Linked DNA regions of Caenorhabditis elegans. The protein of the gene in region 2 interacts with the protein of the main gene of each other region in a pairwise test. Each region holds a gene or a part of one and is shown on either strand. Other genes may lie near its edges. The genes, in order: bag-1 and Y43F8B.2.

Region 1 (3,308 bases), on a different chromosome or scaffold from region 2:
GATCCAAATGGAAAAGTTTTGTATAAAGATACTAAAAAGCAGTACGACAGTATCAACTTCAAGGCCGAAGTTGAAGGAACATACAAAGCATGCTTTTCAAATGAATTCTCCACATTCTCTCATAAAATCGTTTACATGGATTGGCAATTCGGTGATCAAAATGCTCTTCATGCTGCCGTTACTCAAGGAGCTCATGCAATGACTCAATTAGAAAATTATGCAGTCGCTATTGGAGATAAATTGAGAACAGTAAGATTTTTATTTAAAAAGATTTATTTTTACAATTAGAAAATGCTCAAAACGTAACTTTTTCGAATTTTATGAATTCGTTCATTTTTCCAACTCTATTTTGCTGGGAGCTTACTAAAAAAGTTGTTCACCCGACATTTGACATACTTATAAACTTTTTTGTAGATTGATGACTATCAAACTCATCATCGTCTCCGTGAAGCAACTGGTCGCAAACGTGCAGAAGAACTCAACGAGCGCGTGATGATCTGGTCCCTTGGTCAATCTGCCGTCGTAGTATTCATTGGAATTGGCCAAGTTTTCCTGCTCAAATCATTTTTCAATGATAAAAGAACTCGTTATTAATTTTTTCACACCATTGCTCTTTTTTTTGTAATTAGCAGCCTTCTCATTTTAATGGGTCCCGTCAGTTGTTTTGCCCCTTTTCCTCCCTTTGATACATAGCATAAGAATATAATTTATTGATTTATAACTGAGTTTCATAACATAAAAACCCGAAGCAATTTTATGCAATTGAGAATTATTCAGGAATGTCTCCGTTGAGAACTGACTGATATTCCTGGAGTCTCCGAAGAAGTGCGTCATTTTGATTAAGAAGAGTTTGGATTCCGTTTACGAGCGTCTTGCGTTTTTCACGGTTTCGCTTAGCCTGAAAGTTGATTGAACTGAATCGAAAACTTATTCAAAGTACAAAATAAAATTATGACACACCTGATTTTCGGGAGTAGTTTCAGTGATAATATTCATCCCATCAAGAGTTTCCAGATGTCTTTCCGCCTCTTCGTTGAAATATTTCACTTTCTTTTCCAGCTTTTTCCCCATCTCGACCTGCTTTGGTTTTTCGAGAAAACCACGTTCCAAATCAGCGACATCTCTCAAATTGAGATCATAGGCTTTTTGAAGATTGCTCAAATTATGCTTCTCATATTGCATGAGCATTTTGAAGCCCGCGTCATCAACCAAAGCATTTTTTCCACCCATCACAATGATTTTATCATTTTCTTTAAAATTTAAAGTAGAAAGGGAGACATCGTCGGCGCCTTGAAGAAACTTTCCTGTAAAATACTTTGTCTCATTATTCCAAAAAATCAGAAACAACCTCTGTGCAACAACTTCATGGTTTCAACATCAACATCATTGTCGGTGGCGATTCGATCGCGTAGCTGCCCAAGTGTCAAAATAGATTCGTCTTCTCCTTGATTTTCCTCAAGAATGTCGATTGTAGTTTGAACGGATGAACACGACACATTCACCTTCATTTCTGAAAATTGATTTTGAGACAGTTTTAGCAGTGGGAGAAGCCTCCGAGTGTCGATAAATAAGAAATTGGAACAAAATTATTGTTAACTTATTAGAAAATTAAGAAACTTCTAGAAATGACGAGAAGCTTATGCGAAAATCAGTTCCTCCACGAGGTGTACACATCGATTGCAATGGGGCGCACTCGCTCAGAGACTTCAGAGAAAAACGATTCCATAGACAATGAATCACCGTTTTCGTACGATACTGTGAGGGACATTAAATTAGCCCATTTTTGTTTTTAAGTCACAATACGAGAGCACATGATAGTTTTTATATTGGACATGTAAGAAACACAATGTATGAGCAATAAAATAAACAGTGAGTTGGGTGATAACCATCGGTTGAATAATAAGTATGCAATTATTTACAAGAAAATTACTTATGGCTGGAAACTTTTTTCAATCGCTCGAGAATGGCATCGAGTTTGTAAATTGTCTCCTGGTCAATCTGTTTGTAGATTTTGTCCCGATTTTTAACTATTTTGCGAAAATTGTGAATGCACTCTGTTGCTTTTGCAGCTCGCTCTTCAGCTACCACATCGACTCCAATTCGCCGAGTTTTGGTGGATGCAAATCCGATGATTGTGTCCAGTAAACTGTTGGTAATTGATGCAAGAGCCTTCAAGCAAGCCGATCGCTTCCCATAATTGTCGCTCGTGATATTTTCTGAATTACAAAACATTAGAATAAATTTATCAGGAAGCAAAACCAACCCATGATAAATGTTAAACAAGCATGGCACGAGTTGAGACACCAAGAGTTTCTACTATTCAGAATTCTAATGACTGTGGGAGCGAGTTGGTTGTCGTTTGACAATATCTGTTCCATGTTACTTGTGAAACTCTTCATCTTATAAACACGAAGATCTGAAAAGAAAACATAAACTGAAAAATCAAAACTCTGCAAATCCTACTTCTGCTCTCTCGCTTCGCACAAACACCGATTTTATTCACTTCCTCGGTGCATGCGGACCACAACGACGCGTTTGATGACATGACTGACACGGATGATTCTGGGGAGGATTTTGGCAAAGAACTGCTATGTTCTTCACCTCTCGAAACCGGGTTCCGAGACAATTCCTTCTTCGACTCGGAATGCAATGGACGTCTTGAGCGAGTATTTGTGAACTCGGGCAGATCGGCTTTCACAGTTCGAGAACTCCCGATGAAAGTGATGGGAACGTCCTTTTCCGCACCGCGTCTGAAAAAAATATAATCGCTTCAGATACTTTTTTCGTAGAACTCACCGACTCGAAGTAGATCTTGTATTTGGTCTGTTTTCAGCGGATTTCGGAATGTCGTTGAGAGGCTTCCTATTTTTTGCATGTGTTAGTTTTTTCCGGTCGTCAAGCCCTGACATCTGAAAAATTTCAAAATTTCAAATTTAAGAAGAGACAAACATTTTATAATTGGAAAAAAACACAAGATATCAAAATTAGACGAAAGAAAGGAACTAGTAAACAAGAAAAAACCGTTTTCCCGCATAAAAGAAATTCCCGCGTAATTCTTTGAAGTACTATCGTACCCCGCATGAGCGCTGCGGGACCCGAATAACATCTCATATGCGCCTTTAAAGTTTTTAATATAAAGCTGGATTTTTTAATCCTAAGTATTTACTTTTGCCTCATTCCAATGAATTCTTGAAACGATATATTTAATATTTAATTTAGTTCTTATAGTAAATGGCTCCAGTACTTGGTTTGTTGGAAAATGAAGCGAAAGTCAAGTCGATCATCAGAAAGTAAGTCACCAAAAAAAG
Region 2 (4,835 bases):
AAAGTTATAAAACATATGTAGAAAGTTGACGAAAATCGTCAAAAGTTGACAATTTGTGCCCAAAAATTGTGAAAACTCTACCATAATTGTAGTAAAGATGACAAATGTTGCCAGAATGTTGCCAAAAATGTTAAAATTATGAAAAATTTAAAGCTTGTCAAATTTTGCGAAAAGGTCTCCGTAACTTGCAATAAACTTATCTATCTTTGGAGTAAAATTGGCAAAATTTGGCAAAAATTGCCAAAACTTAAAGCAAGTTAGCAAAAAATTGCCAAAAATTTGGCAAAACTTGTTGAACACTCTCCAAAACTCGAAAAATGCTCAGAAAATTCCTATAAATCACAGACTTTTTCGTGTGCACTGACACAAAATGAGCACAATGAGCACAAAAACTTTTTGTGGAGCACATTCCCAAAAAGCTGGAACTCAATTATTTCAGGGGGCTCTGCTCATTTTGTATTCTTTTTCCTATTAGACACTGATGGAAATGGCATGGAAAACAATTATCACACGTCATTCCTTTATTTTGTAGGACTTTTGACTGAAAATTTGCTATTTTTGGAATCAGAAAAGTACGACAGATGTGTTTTTGTGACGCATAGGGGTACAAATAAAATGAAAAAGTTGGCAAACACCTATAAGACACAGTTATCAGGTGTTTGGAGCTAATTTGGGTAAGTTAGAAGAAAGTTGGCAAAAAAATAGGCACAAAATTAGCAAAGCCAAACAAAAGTCAAAAAAAAAATTAAATTAGCAAAGCCAAACAAAAGTCAAAAAAAAAATTAAAATTTAGTTTGCAAAGGATAGGGGAAAGTTGAACGAAAATTGACAAAAAGCTGGAAAAAACCGGCAAAAACTGGCAAATGTCTGGCGAAAGTCGCCAAAAGTTTCGGTAGCTTCCTGACAAACTTCAAAGCTTTCCGGCAGTTTTTCGACAATTCTTGCCAATTTTTGGCGACTTTCTGCCATCTTTTTGACAATTCTTTGCCAACATTTCGTCAGTTTTTGTAAATTTTTTGGTGACTTTCTCGCGAATTTTGACAACTTCTTGACAACTTTTTGGCAACTTTTGTCAACTTTGTGGTTTTTTTTTTGGAATCTATCAACAACATTTTGGCAATTTTTTGACGACTTTCTGGCAATTTGTTGGCAATTTTCGCACAATAATAATTTTCAATCAGATTCCTAATCCCCAAAAATAGGTGAAGCCAGCTGGAAAAATTGAGCCAATGAGTCAAAATGCTCGGTGAACTTAACGAAACTAATCTCTAATTACTTGAACAGCAGAAAGAAAAAATGACGGAAATCTCACGTTTCACTGTGTAAATCATGTGATTTTTGGGGGCAAAAAAAATGAACCTAACTCTTTTTTTCAATATTTACTTTAAGGGGAACGGTACTCTGCAGTTTGCAAAAAAGAGCAATTAAATAAACGCGTACTTTAGTACTCAAAAATTTTAAGGCAAATTGCGAGTTTTTGGGGAAAATTTTGAAAAAAATCAAAAAAAATTTAGTCCAAAAATTTAGTCCAAAAATTTTTTATTTTTTGAAAAACTCACAAATTTTAAACTTAGCAATTTTCTAATTCCAAAAAAAAAAAAATTCCTCTTCACAAACCTCTGTGTACAATTCAATTCCGACATACTTCCACCGTACGCCAAGTGATTATGTGATAGGCGGCGGTGATGGTGAGGTGTCCCCGCAGGGGATCGCTCCGGGGAGTGGTATTCTGAAAATTTATCATCATTTTTCCAAGAAAACTACCCAAAAATCTCATGTTTTTGCAAAAAAAATTTGGGCTAAAAAACACAAAATTGAGTTTAGCGTCAAAAATTGCAGTCCGACTGAAAAATTTGAATTTTCTGTTTTTCTTGATAAACTCACGACTTTTGGATTTATTTTTCTTGTATCGTTTTTCGACGTGACAAAGCTGAAAATGGCCGGGATTTTTGAGCTCCTCGTATATCTGAGCCGCGGAGCTCCATCGGATTGCGCTGAAAATTTTTGAAAAAGATTGAATTTTGCATAGCCGGCTTCTTCTCACTTTTTTTTCAAATACTCCGGAGCCGCCTCAAGAGTTTCGCCGGTCAAATTGGTGATCCGACACTCGCAACGGATTGTACAGGAGCAATTTGGCATCTGCAAAAAAATTTTTTTTTTAACTTTGGGGTTGTGTGAAATTTCAAGCTCATATTGAATCAAAAAAAATCAAAAAATTTCAAAAATTGGTAAAGTGACGTCATTTTCAACATTTGAGAATATTTCTTCGAAAAAATTTAGTTTTGGGTCCCGCCGCGAAAAGTTCTGGGATACTGTAGATAATAAAGACGTTTATAAAAACGCGTGGAAAAATTTCGAAAAAAAAAACTCAAGTATCGGTAGAGTGACGTCATTTTAAAACTGAAGAATTTCAAATTTTTTTCAAAAAAAATTTAATTTTTGGGTCCCGCCGCGAAAAGTTCTGGGGTACTGTAGAAATTGAAGATACACTCGTGAAATTTTTTGGGATACTTTTGTAAAATTTTAAGCTCATATTGAATTGAAAAATTCAAAAAAAAACTCAAATATTGGTAAAGTGACGTCATTTTAAAATTTGAGATTGTTTTCCATAAAAACTTTTTTTTTCGAAATTTTGGGTCCCGCCACGAAAACGTTCGTCGTATTGTAGTTTTTGGAGCGTTGTTATGAAATTTGTTTTTTTTTCTGCTCATAAAAATCACACAATTTCAAAAAATCTCAAAAATAGGCGGAGCGACGTGCTCTGGAAGTTTGATAACATTTTCCAGAAAAAAATTTTTTTTTGGAAATTTTGGGTCCCACCACGAAAACGCCCATGGTACTGTAGTTTTTGGAGGTTGTTTTTATGAAATTCATAGCATTTGTTGGCTGAAATTTCAAGCTCATATTGAAATTTAAAAAATTTGAAAAATCTCAAAAATGGGCGGAGTCACGTCATTTTGAATTTAGGAATTTTTCGAAAAAAATTTTAAAAAAATTTGGAAGATTTGGGTTCCGCTACGAAAACACTCGTAGTTTTGTAGTTTTTAGAGATATATTTTATGAAATTTATAGCAAATGTTGGTTGAAATTTTCTGCTCGAAAATTGTTTTTTAATTTTGAAAAATATAAAAAATCGGTAGAGTGACGTCATTTTGAAGTTTATGAATGTTTTTTCAAAATTTTCAGAAAATAAACTCACTTTCCGGCTAAAAGTCTCTGATTTCAGTAAAAATTGGAAGTGATGGCTTCTGGAAGGTCGCATTTTCAGTTGGAAAATTTTCAGAAATATTTTTTTTTAATTTCGAATAAATCCAAAAAGTGGGCGGAGTCAGTCAGGGGGCTTAACAGCTATAAATTAAACGCGAAAATACTTGAGAAAATGTATAAAGTCGGGGGATTATTTTTTTGCACATACAAATCGAATCAGAAGGATTTCAGCTGCTTTTCCAGCAACTAGTTCTAGATAAGTGAGGTGTGACGTCACTGAGGCTCCGCCCACTTATTGGCAAAAATTTGAAAATTACATAATTTATATTGAAAAAATAGTACAACTTTTAAGTTTAAAATTCACGAAAAAAATTTTCATTTTTTTTTTTCGTTAACATTTTTTCAAAAAAAGGATATAGCTTTTTTTTTTTTAAATTTTTTCTCTGAAATTTTCAAAAAAAAATTCCAAAAAGTTCCAAAGCCCGAATCACCAAAGAACACCAATTCCAGTTATCAATCATTAATTTATTTTCAACTTTCAAAAGTTTTCTTTTTCTGATAAGAAAAGACATCCAAAATTTGATAAGATTTTTAAGAAATAGTATTAGAAAATGAGAGAGTTGGGCAGAGAAATGAGAGAATCTTTAAAGGTTGATGACGTCATCTGAACGGGGAAAAGATCAATTTGAAGGGAAATTTGATGGGAAAAATGTAGAGGGTTAACAGGGGGTTAAATATGGGCATTTTTACAACAAAAAAATTTTTTAATTTTTTTCGTAAATTATGGCTTCATAAATGACAAAAAGGGCATAACATTGACAAAGGAAAGTAACTGAAAATTTCAATTTTCTGTTAAAAATTGGCAGAAAATTTAAATTTCCCGCCAAAAATTGACTGAAAATTTGGATTTTCTTTCCAAAAATTGACAGAAATTTTGTAAAAAAAAAATTGTGAATTTACAGCCAAAAATTAATTGAAAATTCAAATTTCCCGCAAAAGAATAATGCAATTTTTTTGAAAAAGCACATATTTTTTAGAGCGAAAAAATTATTAAAAATTGAGTAAACGTTTTGAAAAAATAATTTTAACATTTCACAAAAAAATTTGAAAAAAAAAATTTTCTCGATTTTTTAAAAATTCAAAAAAAAGTTTTTTCTTATTTAAACTAACTAACAAAAAAATTTGATTTCTATGCACAATGAGCACATTCAAATCAATAAATTTGAATTGAAAGCTTCTTCTCAAAAAAAACTCACCGGAAGCCCCTAAAAAAGAGGCAATAAATGCCGAGAGAGTGTGAGCTTCGAAAGTTTTTTTTTCGTTTTTTTTCTCAAAATGAAAAATGTGCCATAAATAGACACTCAGAGATAAAAAAAAGAAAAAGAAAAAAGTGTGCTCAACGGAGCAAAAAAACAATGAAAAACTGAAAAATAACGAGAAAATTGAGAGGAAAGTGGGGGGGGGGGGGGGGGGAGAAAAACAACATTTTGCAGGGCTCAATGAGCATTTTTTTTGAAGTGAAAAGTGCGAGAGGATTAGCTGAAAATGATGTAAATATTATTTGGATAAGGTTTTGAAAAAAAAATTTGGAAAAAAAATGGAAAAAAAAAATTTTCGAAATTTTTTTT

The links.
Region 1: the proteins of Y43F8B.2 (region 2) and bag-1 interact in a two-hybrid assay, tested with the Caenorhabditis elegans proteins (2 studies listed by BioGRID).

The regions. Positions count from the first base shown.
Region 1 is NC_003279.8:6,562,942-6,566,249, forward strand, and holds bag-1 (BAG family molecular chaperone regulator 1), read right to left. Parts: upstream 1,511-3,308; 5' UTR 1,509-1,510; coding exon 1,349-1,508; intron 1,305-1,348; coding exon 961-1,304; intron 899-960; coding exon 770-898; 3' UTR 688-769; downstream 1-687. Other genes in the region: tmed-3 (GOLD domain-containing protein), read left to right, coding at 1-249, 415-594; mei-2 (Meiotic spindle formation protein 2), read right to left, coding at 1,927-2,216, 2,264-2,416, 2,464-2,750, 2,797-2,909; syp-6 (Thyroid receptor-interacting protein 11), read left to right, coding at 3,232-3,290. UniProt on the Caenorhabditis elegans protein: May inhibit the chaperone activity of HSP70/HSC70 by promoting substrate release in an ATP-dependent manner.
Region 2 is NC_003283.11:19,529,849-19,534,683, forward strand, and holds the start of Y43F8B.2 (GSKIP domain-containing protein), read right to left. Parts: upstream 3,263-4,835; coding exon 3,200-3,262; intron 2,140-3,199; coding exon 2,045-2,139; intron 1,995-2,044; coding exon 1,885-1,994; intron 1,730-1,884; coding exon 1,618-1,729; intron 1-1,617.